Xenopus tropicalis: one gene and its partner. Each later gene encodes a partner of the first gene's protein in a complex. Links are inferred from orthologs where the notes say so. Each region holds a gene or a part of one and is shown in the gene's direction. Other genes may lie near its edges.

Region 1 (7,323 bases):
AAACCCAAACATTTACCTACCCCCTACCCACCCAATACCCACATCATGGGTACCTGCCCGCTAACCCCACAAAAAGTTTAACCTACCCCTAAACCCCACCCCAAATACCCACAATCATGAATACCTGGCCCAGCCTAAACCTCAACATTTAACCTACCCCCTAAAAAACCCAACCCCAATAACCACCACATCATGGCCTTCCCTGCCCAAGGCTACCCACAAAAATTTTTTTTTAAAACCACCCCCTTACACCCAAATACCCCCACATCAAAAATGGGGTTAGCTGCCCCAGCTACCCCACATTTACCTACCCCCTACCCACCAAATTACCAACAAATCATGGGGTTTACCTCCCCAGCTTACCCAAACATTTACCTACCCCCATACCCCCCATACCCCACAATCAATGGGGTAAAAACCTGCCCAGCTTTACCCCACATTTTTCCTACCCCTTACCACCCCACATTAACCCAACATCCAATGGGTTTACCTGCCAGGCTACCCTCACCAAATTTTACCCCTACCCCCTACCCCACCCAAATATACCCCCAAAAATCAATGGCCTTAACCTGCCAGCCTTTTACCCCACATTTTACCTTCCCCCCTACCCACCCCCAATACCCACCAAAAATCATGGGTAAACCCTGCCCCAGCTACCCCCCACATTTCCTAACCCCCCTACCCAACCATACCCCACAATCCATGGGTTAACCCTTGCCCCCAGCCTAACCCCACATTTTTAACCTACCCCCTAACCCACCAATACCCCCACCCCCATTGTTGCAAATAGGGCCCCCTGGCCCCATTCAGTGGGAAGCAGGAAAAAATCCCCTGTGGGGCCCCTCCCCTGCCCCTTTGGGCTTTTGCCAAATCTAACATAGCCCCTACTAAGCCCCCCCCCAAAAAGGGTTGGGGGTTTTTTTTTTTTTTTTTTTTCAGACCTTCCCTTCCAAGTGGGCCCCCCCCATGTTACCCAGTCTGCGGACCTCCCCAGGGCAAAAGTTTTAAAAAAACCTAACACCAGACTTCAAAGCCCCCCCCTTTCCATTTTCAATATTATTGCCCCTTTTGGGGGGGCCAAGAACCCCTACATCCTTGTTTACTTTCAGTGGGTCCCGGTTTTCCCAGCCCAAAATGGAAAAAAAAAATCCTTGCAAATAACAGGAGGCCCCCCCCCGGCTTACCCCAGAAACCCCTACCGTTTTATAAGCCAGAACCCCTTGTCCCCCTCCTCTTTAAGTCATAGTTTTTTTTTTTAAAATTTTAACCCCTGTGGGGGCAAAAATCCCGCCTAATACCCCTGCCTAATTTTAACTGTTTCTTACAGATTTGTGGCCCCGAACCTCATTATTACTAGACCTATATAGTCATTTATGGGCCAAAGACATTCCAACCCTGTACCTCAGGGTAATAAAGGGCCTGTTCCAGTTTGTTTTTTTGCCCCCCCTTTGGATTCCAAATATTAAAATTGGCCCCCCTTGGGGGCAAGAAAAACCTACACCCCCCATGGGTACTTAATGGTTTTTTGCTTTGTCCCAGTCCCAATGGGATCAGGGTTAAAAATCAAAGCCCCCCCGCTTTTGCCCCCCCAGAAACCTACTCTTTTAATACCAGAACTGCCATAATTATTAAACCCTCGTGGGGGGTAAAAAAATCCCCCTCTCTAAATACCCAAAGGGTGTCCTGCCCCAAATTTTAAAGCCTCTTTCCTTAAAAGAATCTTGGGCCCCGAAAAATCTCCTTAATAACTAGAAACCCCATTTAAAGTCCCCCCAATTTTTTGGGGGTTGAAAACAGATTCATTTCTTTTGGCCCCCCGACTCCATGTTTTTCCCATTTAGTAAAAAAATAATTTGGGGGGGGCGGTTTTTTTTTTTTCACCTGTCTCTTGTCCCCCCCCCCCCCCCCCCCAAAGGGATCTGTTATTACAACTTTTTCCTTCTAAAGACCCCCAGCAAAATGGTTTTTTGTTTTGAACTACACCCTCCAGCATATGCAACCTACATCAGTTGTAAATTTTTAATTCATTATTATTTCACCCCCCAAACCTCCTTGCCTGTGGTAAAAAACGTAAAAAAACTTGATTTTTCTATTTGAATTATAAAGCAAAAGATTTGGGGCGCTTTTTCCCCCCCCATTTCATTCCAAGCCCCCTACTCTGTACACATTTTATAATAAATACGATTATTACTATCTACTTGAAAGGTTGGTGTCCCCTTCCCCCATTTTTCCCCCTAAAAATTATACGTTTCTTATTTATAATTTTAGAAGGGGCCAACCCCCGGCCCAACGCCCTGAGAGGGTGCAAGCACCCCCCAAAGCCTCCCACTCCCCAAATGTTCAACAGCCAAGGGGAAAACCCCTTTTCCTAACCAAGCACTTTCCTGTTTCCTTGACCAGTCCAATGAAACGGTCAAGAGATCCCAGAAGGAAGGACCCGCCCAATATGTTTGGCCCTTCCGGGGCCAAGAGATTTTTTACCCAATTAGAAAGCTTTTTTTCCTGACTGGGAAATACCGGGAAAAATGGGCTAGCTTTTTTTTTTTTCCCTTCATGGCCCCTGCCGTTACGCCTAAGTCAAACTGAACAAAATTCATTTCTGAGGGGGTACCCTGCCCCTTAATAAGAAAGTCCAACTGCTTGAACCACAGTAAATATGGCCGCCGTGCCCCGCCATTCCTCCTTCAGCGAACTTACATATCCCCGTTCCCAGCGCGCCCTAGCGGCCCGCGCCCACATGCCCGCCCAAAAACCCTGGGCTTCCTTCGTGGCCTGTTGGGCCCCGGCCTTTTCTGGGTATACCGCACAGGCCCCCTTGGTGGGGGTGCATTTGCCTGAAATTGGTCCCCCCCCCCCCCGCTTAAGCGGGAGGGGCCCGGCTTGGTGTTGAGAGGAGTTCCCCGGCCATGGGAGGGCCGGCTTTCATTCCTTGGTTCATTAACAAAACGCTGCAGGATGTGTTTCAAACACGGTTTGGGGGTCCCCGGGAAATTTTGTTTTTATTCCAGCTTGCCGCAAGATCGTGGTGCGTTTTGGGGGAAACTCCAGGGTGGAGGAAGGCCTGTTGGGGTGTTGTGGGGAAAGCGGGGCCTTTGATTGGGAAATTTTACCGGCTGCCCTCCCAGTTTTGGCTGGAGACCCACGCGCAAACCAGAATAAAATGGGGCCCCCCCCCCTGCCAATTTCAGTGGGGGTCAAGCTATCCCATAATGTACCCCCCAGTTGTATCCCCCCGGCCCTGCTTCTGGGGATTAAAAACCCTCCTTCTGGGCCCTTCCTTCTCAAGCTTGCCCCAGAACCTCTTTTAATTATCAAGACCTGGTCCCCAATCAAACTTCGGCCCCCCTGTTTCCTTTTCCCAATTTCAACAAATTATGGAAAACCTACAAATTCCTTTGTTTTTTTACTCAGGGTAAACCTGCCCCCCCCCCTTTTTTCCCCCATTTCAAATATTTTAATTTGCCCCTTAGGGGGCCAAAGAAGAAACCTTAAACCCATCCCTTTTGGTAAACCTTCAGGGGTCCCCCCCCTGGTTTCCAAGCCCATTGGGAATCTTCCATAACCAGGAGCCCCTCAGCCTTTGCCCCCCAGGAAACCTCTTTACTTAACCAGAACCTGCCCCCCTTTCCCCCCTTTTTAAGTCATAGTTTCTTAGGGGCAAAATTCCCTCCTAAAAAATAACCCCAGGGTGTCCTGCTTAATTTTAACTCTTTCTTATAGATTTGTGGCCCCGAATCTCATTCATAAACTAGGCCCCATTTTCAGTCCATTTTATGGGCCAAAGGACCAATTTCAATATTTGGGGCTTTTATCTAGAACCCCCCAGGGTGCCCCTGTAAAGTTTTGGGGTGGACAGGGGGGGGTGCCCCTGAAAGCCTTTGTAAGGGTGGGTTGCAAGGGGGGGCGGCCCTGAGCTTGTAAGTGGGTGACAGGGGGGCGCCTGAGCCCTGTAAGTTGGGTGGTAAACCAGGGGGGCGCCTGAAGCTTTGTTAAAGTGGGTGACAAGGGGGGGTGCCCCTGAAGCCTGTAAGTGGGGGTGAACAGGGGGGAGCCCTGAAGCTTGTTAAAGTTTGGGTGGAGAGGGGGCTGCCCCTGAGGCTGTACAAAGTGGGTTGACCAGGGGGGCGGGCCTGAAAGCTTTTTGTAAAGTGGGTTGAACAAGGGGGGGTGCCCCTGAAAAAGCTTGTAAGTGGGTTGGAAAACAGGGGGGGGGCGCCTGAGCTTGTTAAAAAGTGGGTTGGACAAGGGGGGGCCGCCTGAAGCTGTTAAGTGGGGTTTTTTTTGACAGGGGGCGTGCCCCCCTTGGCTTGTAAGGGTGGCGTGGACAGGGGGGGGGTTTTGCCCCTGGGAAGCTTTGGTAAGTGGGGTGGACAGGGGGGGCGCCTGAAGGCCTGTAAGTGGGTGTACAGGGGGGTTTTGGCCTTGAAAGGGCTTTTGGTAAGTGGGTGACAGGGGGGCTGCCTTTTAGCTTTTTGGTAAAAAGTTGGGGTGAGAGGTGGTTGGGCCCTGAAGCCTGTAAAATGTGGGTTGAAAAACAGGGGGCGCCTGAGCCTTGTAAATTTTGGGGTAAACACGGCCGGGTTTGCCCTGAGCTGTAAGTGGGTAAACAGGGGGGGTGGCCTTGACAAGGCTGTAAAAGTGGGGTTTTTGACAAGGGGGTTGGCTGAAGCTGGTTAAGTTGGGTGACCAGGGGGTTTGCCTGAAAAAGCTGTTAAAAAAGTGGGTAACAGGGGGGGCGCCTGAGCTTGGTTTTAAGATGGGTTGAAAAAACAGGGGGGCCGCCTGGGAGGGCTTTGTAAAGTTGGGTGAAACCCAGGGGGGGCGGCCCTGAAAAAAGCTTGTAAGTTGGGTTTGGGACAAGGGGGGTTGCTGAAAAAGCTTGCCTTCGGTTGCCAGAAACTGGGGCAATAATTGATATATTTTTCCTTAAAACCAGGATTTTTCCCAGGAAACCCTAATGGAACCAGGACCTTGCCCCCCAATTCACAAGAAACCCGGTTTCTATGGGACCGCTTGTTTTCCTTCTGTCCCGAGGCGCTGTCAATAAAATAAAAAAATATAACGAGAAGGAATGTTTCCCCTTGGGGCCCCAACACATAAGCCTGGTACCCTCATAACCTGGTAAACTGTCTAACGGGGAAAACTATGGGCCATACCCCTTACCCCATATGTAAAAAATAAATAACAATATACGAGAGGAAAATGCTCCCTGGGCCCACCACAAATAAGCTTTGTAACCCCATTAACTGGTAAAACTTGTCTAAAGGGGAAACCTATGGCAACCCCCTACCCCATAAATGTTTATAAATACACAATTATAAGAAGAACTGGAAAATGTTCCTGGCACAAAACAATTAATGCCCTGGTAACCCCCATTACTGTTAACTGTCCCTAGGGAAAAACACTATGGCAAACCCCCCTTACCATATGTTAATACAATATAAACAAGAGAAAGGGGAATGTTCTGGGCCAAACACAATAAAAGCTTTTGTATACCCCATTACCCTTGGTACTTGTCCCCTAAGGGGAAAAAACGCTTTTATTGGACCCTTACCCATATGGTAAATAATACAGAATAATACAAGAGAGGAATGTTCTGGCAAAACAAAATTTAAGCTTTCTTTTGCCAGCCCCTGGGGGATTTGGGGGCGCTTTCATTTCCCTTTTTTTCATCTCCCAAATGGGTGGAGAAAGCGATCCAGGGGCCCGGGGGTAAAATTGGGGATGGTTAGGAACAGTTCTCGTTAGCCAGAACTCCCTTAAAGTCCCCCACCAGGCTGCTTGGGCAGGGCATTTGAAATTTCCAAACAAGTCGAGCCATTTAATTGAAGACTTAAATCCAGCAAAGAGTCCATTGAATTTTTTTTACATAAACGTTACTCCACTAAATGCTTTGGGGAGGGGGGGGGATTTTCTGTATTTTCGACATTAACAAAGCTTGAATTAGAGTGGGAAATTTCATGTTTTTTCCTGAACTGAAGGAAATGCTGGGGAGCCCTGTAAAAGTTTTTCCCAAAACTTTGAGGACTACTGTGCCCTGGTTTTTTTCCAATGCCTGTTTGGGGTTGAAATGTTTATTTTCCTGTTCGCCTAACAGCTTGTTGCAAATACAGCAAGGCCTTAATGTGGGGCGCTGTTCTTTAAAAGCAACTTTAATATTGGAACAGCTGCAAATGTAACTGTAAATGTAACTGTAAAAAAAAATGGCGGCCAAAAAAAAAAATTTGTGGGGTTCCCTCTGGGGCAAAAAAGGGATTTAGTTGGGGTTTTCCTCAATCCCGTCCCCCTTTAAAAAATAAGCAAGTGGTTATACCTTAGGGGGCTTTTTGTTTCCCTGCTGAAAATTTGTGCTTAGTTAACGGGGGGAATCCCTATGTGCAATAGGTTTTTATGGTATTTCCTTCTGTACAGGCCTATGGGCCAAACTTAATGGGGGCTTGTTTCCTGCCTGAATTGTGGCTTTAGTACAAAGGGGAATCCCTATGTTGCCCTAGTTTTTAATGGTAAATCTTTTCTCTGTACGGCTTAATGGGCAAACTTTAAAAAGGGGGGCCTGTTTTTTTCCCTGCTTTGAAAAATTGGTGCGCTTAGGGTACAGGGGCAAAAATACCCTTAATGTGCCATAAGTTTTTTATGGTAAATTCTCTGCTGACAGGCCCCCTATCGGCAAACTTAGGGGGGGCTTGTTCCTGCCTTGGAATTTGTGCTTTAAGTACCAGGGGAAAAAAATCCAACTTTGTGCCATCAGTTTTTTTTTTATGGTAAAATCTCTCTGTAACAAGGCCTAATGGGTCAAACCTTAAGGGGGCCCTTGTTTTTTTTTCCTGCCTGAATTTGTGCTTTTAAGTACGCAGGGAAATCCCCTATGGGTGCCAAATAGAATTTTAATTGGTAAATCCTTTTCCTCTTGTACAGGCCTTTAAATTGGCAAACTTAGGGGGCTGTTTTTTTTTTTTCCTGCCTGAAAATTGTGCCTTAAGTAACAAGGGGGGAAAAAATCCCTTATGTGCCATTAGAAATTTTTTTAAATGGTTATCTCTCTGTACAGGCTAATGGGCCCCAAAAACTTAGGGGGCGGCTTTGTTCCTGCCTGCTTTTGAAATTGTTGCTTTAGTTAAACAGGGGAAATCCCTATGGTGCCCATAGGGTTTTCCTATTTTCTGTTTTACTTTTAACCTGATGAATTTCTTTTCGTCCCCTTAGAGCAAGCGAAAAGAACGTTTCGGTGGGCTTTGGAGAGTTTTGGGTGGGGGCCGGGAACCCTCCTGGGCCTTTTCCCCAGGGGTTACGGGAAAAAAAATAAAGTTCACCAAGAAAGAGCCC
Region 2 (7,576 bases), on another chromosome or scaffold:
ACACAGGGCCCATCTCCTACTCAGGGACTGGTGAATATATTCTGCCCCGCCCCAATACCAACACAGGGCCCATCTCCTACTCAGGGACTGGTGAATATATTCTGCCCCCCCCAATACCAACACAGGGCCCATCTCCTACTCAGGGACTGGTGAATATATTCTGCCCCCCCCCCCCAATACCAACACAGGGCCCATCTCCTACTCAGGGACTGGTGAATATATTCTGCCCCCCCCCAATACCAACACAGGGCCCATCTCCTACTCAGGGACTGGTGAATATATTCTGCCCCCCCCCCCCAATACCAACACAGGGCCCATCTCCTACTCAGGGACTGGTGAATATATTCTGCCCCCCCCAATACCAGCACAGGGCCCATCTCCTACTCAGGGACTGGTGAATATATTCTGCCCCCCCCAATACCAACACAGGGCCCATCTCCTACTCAGGGACTGGTGAATATATTCTGCCCCCCCCCCAATACCAACACAGGGCCCATCTCCTACTCAGGGACTGGTGAATATATTCTGCCCCCCCCAATACCAACACAGGGCCCATCTCCTACTCAGGGACTGGTGAATATATTCTGCCCCCCCCCCCCCAATACCAACACAGGGCCCATCTCCTACTCCCCCCCCCCCCCCCCAATCCCAACACAACTCTTGGGCCAGGTTCCTGGGTGCCAATGATTGAATATATCATGCTTTGGGCAATGTAACCCAATTCTAGTTCGCCTGGGTGACACACACTGGTACCCCTATGAGAAACTCAGCTGGGAAACACATAGCAGTCTCTGACTGGCCTATAGAGCTCAGGAGATAAGGTTCTACTGACTCTGTACTAGTTGAACTATAAGCCCTACTCCTCCGAGAGTCAGCCACTGAGAGACTTAGTGAGTTGTAGTTCAGCTACAGGCAGCATTCCAACTCAATGGGCACTTTCCACCTCTTACTACTTGCCCCTCTAGGCCCCCAAACATGGTATAGCCCACAGCCCCACCCCCACCTTATTGCCTCACCACCTCCCTTCTGTCCCAGGGACGATTTACCCCTGTGGCTTTCTTGTCCCTTACCTTGAAGTCATTCCCACTCAGGTCTACCCCTCTGATGAAGGGCAGTACCCCGGTAGCCGCCATGATCCACTGCCCGGCTGCTCTCTCTCGGATTAGGGCACTGGCTATAGATAGCAGCAGGAAGCGGCCAGGACACGCCCCCTCCGGACAGACAAACTTGAGGCACCACGCCCGCTCAGCTTTCAGTCACTGCTCATTGACAACCAACCCCGGCGCGGAATGGACTCTCCGGCCACGCCCATTCCACCCTTTCATCGCCAGCGGCAGGTACTGACAAGCCGTCAGGAACACAGGCCTCTGATTGGTTGGAAGTGTGAGCAAGTGACAGGTCCGGCAGCACTGGGGAAACTATAGGGGGGCCCGGACAGCGGGGTACGCTCCCCCTGTAGTTTAACAAAATACCCCCTCTGCTACATAGGAGGCTGCAGGCTGAGTTATACAGGGAACTCTGAGTATCACTCATGTATTATAAGGGATACTGTACCCCCTACTGTAAATGATAAGGATATTAGCAGTCACTGAGGGGTTCTGTGCCCATATAAAGGCACAAGGCTGCAGGCTGAGTTATACAGGGAACTCTGAGTATCACTCATGTATTATAAGGGATAATGTACCCCCTACTGTAAATGATAAGGATATTAGCAGTCACTGAGGGGTTCTGTGCCCATATAAAGGCACAAGGCTGCAGGCTGAGTTATACAGGGAACTCTGAGTATCACTCATGTATTATAAGTGATAATGTACCCCCTACTGTAAATGATAAGGATATTAGCAGTCACTGAGGGGTTCTGTACCCATATAAAGGCACAAGGCTGCAGGCTGAGTTATACAGGGAACTCTGAGTATCACTCATGTATTATAAGGGATAATGTACCCCCTACTGTAAATGATAAGGATATTAGCAGTCACTGAGGGGTTCTGTGCCCATATAAAGGCACAAGGCTGCAGGCTGAGTTATACAGGGAACTCTGAGTATCACTCATGTATTATAAGGGATAATGTACCCCCTACTGTAAATGATAAGGATATTAGCAGTCACTGAGGGGTTCTGTGCCCATATAAAGGCACAAGGCTGCAGGCTGAGTTATACAGGGAACTCTGAGTATCACTCATGTATTATAAGGATAATGTACCCCCTACTGTAAATGATAAGGATATTAGCAGTCACTGAGGGGTTCTGTGCCCATATAAAGGCACAAGGCTGCAGGCTGAGTTATACAGGGAACTCTGAGTATCACTCATGTATTATAAGGGATAGTGTACCCCCTACTGTAAATGATAAGGATATTAGCAGTCACTGAGGGGTTCTGTGCCCATATAAAGGCACAAGGCTGCAGGCTGAGTTATACAGGGAACTCTGAGTATCACTCATGTATTATAAGGGATAATGTACCCCCTACTGTAAATGATAAGGATATTAGCAGTCACTGAGGGGTTCTGTGCCCATATAAAGGCACAAGGCTGCAGGCTGAGTTATACAGGGAACTCTGAGTATCACTCATGTATTATAAGGGATAATGTACCCCCTACTGTAAATGATAAGGATATTAGCAGTCACTGAGGGGTTCTGTGCCCATATAAAGGCACAAGGCTGCAGGCTGAGTTATACAGGGAACTCTGAGTATCACTCATGTATTATAAGGATAATGTACCCCCTACTGTAAATGATAAGGATATTAGCAGTCACTGAGGGGTTCTGTGCCCATATAAAGGCACAAGGCTGCAGGCTGAGTTATACAGGGAACTCTGAGTATCACTCATGTATTATAAGGATAATGTACCCCCTACTGTAAATGATAAGGATATTAGCAGTCACTGAGGGGTTCTGTGCCCATATAAAGGCACAAGGCTGCAGGCTGAGTTATACAGGGAACTCTGAGTATCACTCATGTATTATAAGGGATAATGTACCCCCTACTGTAAATGATAAGGATATTAGCAGTCACTGAGGGGTTCTGTGACCATATAAAGGCACAAGGCTGCAGGCTGAGTTATACAGGGAACTCTGAGTATCACTCATGTATTATAAGGGATAATGTACCCCCTACTGTAAATGGTAAGGATATTAGCAGTCACTGAGGGGTTGGCAGAGTTGGTCTCTTTGCCCTGGAGCGCCTAAAAGTCCAGTAAGAGTTTCTAATGTGGAAATGAGGCCACAGACATACAACTTCATCCAATTAAATGAGCGTCCTTTGGCTTTCCAAGCATTCTGGGAATTGTAGCCAAGTACAGCTTTGTATGACTTGTAGGTCATATAAAAGCGCAGGCAGAATGTAAAGTGATTAGTAATCGGCCATTTATTGTGTGTGTATTGGCTATGCACTTCGTGCTCGCTTTTCATACTATCCTTATGGATTAACAGCTTTGTATGTATTTATATTGCAATTAAAATGTTCAAGAATCATATATAAAAGAAAGGGAGGGAACTACATCGGTACGTTTGGGTGGGCAAAGGGTTTTTTTTCCAGCAGCCTAAGGGTTAAGAAAAACGTCTTCCTTCCCTGGGAGCGCAGCCAAGTGACGTCTCACTGACGCTACAGTACCCGCATGCTGATTGGTTGTACGTGTTCGAGTATCTGAGTTTGTTTTTTTTATCCCCCTGTGGCTTGTTTTTAACAGAGCGACGCCTGATTGGCTGGTCACTCTCAAATTGTCACCGCTGATTGGTTGAGTTGGAGGTTAAGCCTCCCGATTGGCCTATGGCTTGTAAGGCTCCGCTGGACTGGGCAAAGGGCTGAACTTGAGAACTCCTGGTTATTAGTTGGTGCGGAGGAGCGGCGGCCTAGCCGAGTGTAGGTGAGTGCGGAAAGTGAGTTGCAGCTGGGAGCAGACTCGGGCGAGTGCTTGCTGTGCCCCTGTGGCGCTGTCTCTGGGTTTCCAGTTGTTGGTAACAGCGCGGAGTCCCCGGCCTGGAGGGATATGGGGGTGTCAGGGGGAGGTGTGGGGGTGTCAGGGGGAGGTGTGGGGTGTTTCCTTAGGTTAGTTGGGGCCCCTGGAGCTTGTCCCCCTGGGCTGTGGCGGTGGGGGGCTAGCTTGTCCCCCTGGGCTGTGGTGGTGGGGGGGCAGCTTGTCCCCCTGGGCTGTGGTGGTGGCGGTGGGGGGGCTAGCTTGTCCCCCTGGGCTGTGGTGGTGGGGGGGCTAGCTTGTCCCCCTGGGCTGTGGTGGTGGGGGGGCAGCAGCTTGTCCCCCTGGGCTGTGGTGGTGGGGGGGCTAGCTTGTCCCCCTGGGCTGTGGTGGTGGGGGGGCAGCAGCTTGTCCCCCTGGGCTGTGGTGGGGGGGGGGGCAGCAGCTTGTCCCCCTGGGCTGTGGTGGTGGGGGGGCTAGCTTGTCCCCCTGGGCTGTGGTGGTGGGGGGGCTAGCTTGTCCCCCTGGGCTGTGGTGGTGGGGGGGCAGCAGCTTGTCCCCCTGGGCTGTGGTGGTGGGGGGGCTAGCTTGTCCCCCTGGGCTGTGGTGGTGGGGGGGCAGCAGTTTGTCCCCCTGGGCTGTGGTGGTGGGGGGGCTAGCTTGTCCCCCTGGGCTGTGGTGGTGGGGGGGCAGCAGCTTGTCCCCCTGGGCTGTGGTGGGGGGGGGGGGCAGCAGCTTGTCCCCCTGGGCTGTGGTGGTGGGGGGCAGCAGCTTGTCCCCCTGGGCTGTGGTGGTGGGGGGGCAGCTTGTCCCCCTGGGCTGTGGTGGTGGGGGGCTAGTTTGTCCCCCTGGGCTGTGGTGGTGGGGGGCTAGCTTGTCCCCCTGGGCTGTGGTGGTGGGGGGGCAGCTTGTCCCCCTGGGCTGTGGTGGTGGGGGGGCAGCTTGTCCCCCTGGGCTGTGGTGGTGGGGGGCTAGCTTGTCCCCCTGGGCTGTGGTGGTGGGGGGGCAGCTTGTCCCCCTGGGCTGTGGTGGTGGGGGGCTAGTTTGTCCCCCTGGGCTGTGGTGGTGGGGGGCTAGCTTGTCCCCCTGGGCTGTGGTGGTGGGGGGCTAGCTTGTCCCCCTGGGCTGTGGTGGTGGGGGGCAGCTTGTCCCCCTGGGCTGTGGTGGTGGGGGGGCAGCTTGTCCCCCTGGGCTGTGGTGGTGGGGGGGCAGCTTGTCCCCCTGGGCTGTGGTGGTGGGGGGGCAGCTTGTCCCCCTGGGCTGTGATGGCGGTGGGGGGGGAAGCTTGTCCCCCTGGGCTGTGATGGCGGTGGGGGGGGAAGCTTGTCCCCCTGGGCTGTTGTGGGGGGGGGGGCAGCTTGTCCCCAGGCTTACAGAGACTTATAATATTACCACCACCACCCCCCCCCCCAATCTGCCATTAGTTGCCTCTGTCTCAGGCTTACAGAGAGGGAGGAGTTCTTTAGTACAACAAATAATATCTAGTTAGGGCTCATAATCCATCTCCTGACCATGGTGTTCTCCCTGTGCAGGGTGAAGATGGCAGAGCTGCAGGTCCGAAAGAAAGAAAAGAAGTCTGGCGATGGTATCGGAACAATGGTGGACTTTCTGTTGGCCAATGCCAGGCTGGTTCTTGGCGTAGGAGGAGCTGCCATGCTTGGCATAGCCACACTGGCTGTTAAACGGGTGAGTGGAGATTCCCTGCTTTATTTTGTGTATTGGGAGCCCATTGTGCTGCGTAGGGAGTAGCTGTGTGTTCCTGTAATATTACTGCACCGCATCTGATCTGGGTCGTCTGGCTCGATACCTGCTGCCCAGGGGTGGCCCCCCAGTGTATTGTTATGCCACTTTGCTCTGAAGCTCAGGGTGAGTTGCTTACACCTTGTGCCTTTCTGCAGCTGATCGATCGAGCGACTTCACCCCCCAGTGACAAAGAAGCGGAGGAGAAAGCAGAGCAGAAATCCATAGAGGAGAGTTGGAAAGAGGCCGTACTGAAGAAGGCTTCACCTACACTCCGAAGGAAGGAAGACCTTGGGCTTCATTGTGCTCCTTTATCTCTGCCGGATCCCAGCCAGCCAATCCCAGGTCAGAGCCATCAGTACAGGGGAATCCCTGTTCTGCCGAAGTTTTATGGTATCTCCCTGTACAGGCTATGAGCATACTTAGGGGGCTGTTCCTGCTGAATTGTGCTTAGTACAGGGGAATCACTATGCTGCCATAGTTTTATGGTATCTCTCTGTACAGGCTATGAGCAAACTTAGGGGGCTGTTCCTGCTGAATTGTGCTTAGTACAGGGGAATCCCTATGCTGCCATAGTTTTATGGTATCTCTCTGTACAGGCTATGAGCAAACATAGGGGACTGTTCCTGCTGAATTGTACTTAGTACAGGGGAATCCCTATGTGCCATAGTTTTATGGTATCTCTCTGTACAGGCTATGAGCAAACTTAGGGGGCTGTTCCTGCTGAATTGTGCTTAGTACAGGGGAATCCCTATGCTGCCATAGTTTTATGGTATCTCTCTGTACAGGCTATGAGCAAACTTAGGGGGCTGTTCCTGCTGAATTGTGCTTAGTACAGGGGAATCCCTATGCTGCCATAGTGTTATGGTATCTCTCTGTACAGGCTATGAGCAAACTTAGGGGGCTGTTCCTGCTGAATTGTGCTTAGTACAGGGGAATCCCCATGCTGCTCTAGGTTTATGGTATCTCTCTGTACAGGCTATGAGCAAACTTAGGGGGCTGTTGCTGCTCAATTGTGCTTAGTACAGGGGAATCCCCATGCTGCTGTAGGTTTATGGTATCTCTCTGTACAGGCTATGAGCAAACTTAGGGGGCTGTTCCTGCTGAATTGTGCTTAGTACAGGGGAATCCCTATGCTGCCATAGTTTTATGGTATCTCTCTGTACAGGCTATGAGCAAACTTAGGGGGCTGTTCCTGCTGAAATGTGCTTAGTACAGGGGAATCCCTATGCTGCCATAGTGTTATGGTATCTCTCTGTACAGGCTATGAGCAAACTTAGGGGGCTGTTGCTGCTCAATTGTGCTTAGTACAGGGGAATCCCCATGCTGCTGTAGGTTTATGGTATCTCTCTGTACAGGCTATGAGCAAACTTAGGGGGCTGTTGCTGCTGAATTGTGCTTAGTACAGGGGAATCCCCATGCTGCTGTAGGTTTATGGTATCTCTCTGTACAGGCTAGGAGCAAACTGAGGGGGCTATTGCTATTCTCGTGGGGTTTATAATGCCCTTACAGTGTTTCTGTTCATCCATACAGAGGCAGCTGGCACGGTGCAGGATAAAGCGCCCGATGAGATGAAGAAGATTCCCATTTGCTTCACGCTGCAGGAGCGGCTGCAGGACTATCACTCACGCCACGCCAGTGTCCCGGAAGCGCAGAGGGAGGAGGCCAGGCAGCTGGTACTAGATATAAAGGCAGAGCTGCAGGGCTTTCTGCGTGCCAAGCTGCCCGAGATACCCTTCCTTGCCCTGCACCTTGGCGGCTCTCTGGGTAACCAACTCCCTGTGTCCTGCTTGGACCATGCCTGCCTGCTAATGCCTTTGGTTCCGGAGCCGGATTTGTGGTGTTTTATTCCAGGACAGCAAACGATCCTCAGCGACCCCAACTTCTGCATGGTAAAGAGGACTGACCTGGAATACGCGGCG

Evidence for each region. Proteins that work in one complex are often made in the same cells at the same time.
Region 2: the proteins of dnm1l (region 1) and mief2 are in contact, whole or in part, in a cryo-EM structure (PDB 5WP9), measured with the Homo sapiens proteins. The link is inferred for Xenopus tropicalis from reciprocal best matches to the Homo sapiens genes DNM1L and MIEF2. Residues at the interface, in NP_036192.2 of Homo sapiens: Asp190, Met191, Ala192, Thr193, Ser194, Leu197, Lys198, Ile199, Arg201, Glu202, Gly223, Thr224, Asp225, Asp228, Arg233, Val234; in NP_631901.2 of Homo sapiens: Val213, Asp214, Thr215, Val216, Arg218, Arg226, Leu230, Arg235, Val245, Gly246, Tyr248.

What each region holds. Positions count from the first base shown.
Region 1 is NC_030679.2:4,797,548-4,804,870, reverse strand, and holds the start of dnm1l (dynamin-1-like protein), read left to right. Parts: upstream 1-2,656; coding exon 2,657-2,818; intron 2,819-7,203; coding exon 7,204-7,323. UniProt on the Homo sapiens protein: Functions in mitochondrial and peroxisomal division.
Region 2 is NC_030685.2:15,966,374-15,973,949, reverse strand, and holds the start of mief2 (mitochondrial dynamics protein MID49), read left to right. Parts: upstream 1-3,728; 5' UTR 3,729-3,870; intron 3,871-3,893; exon of another isoform or gene 3,894-3,957; intron 3,958-5,440; 5' UTR 5,441-5,453; coding exon 5,454-5,600; intron 5,601-5,812; coding exon 5,813-5,999; intron 6,000-7,187; coding exon 7,188-7,576. UniProt on the Homo sapiens protein: Mitochondrial outer membrane protein involved in the regulation of mitochondrial organization.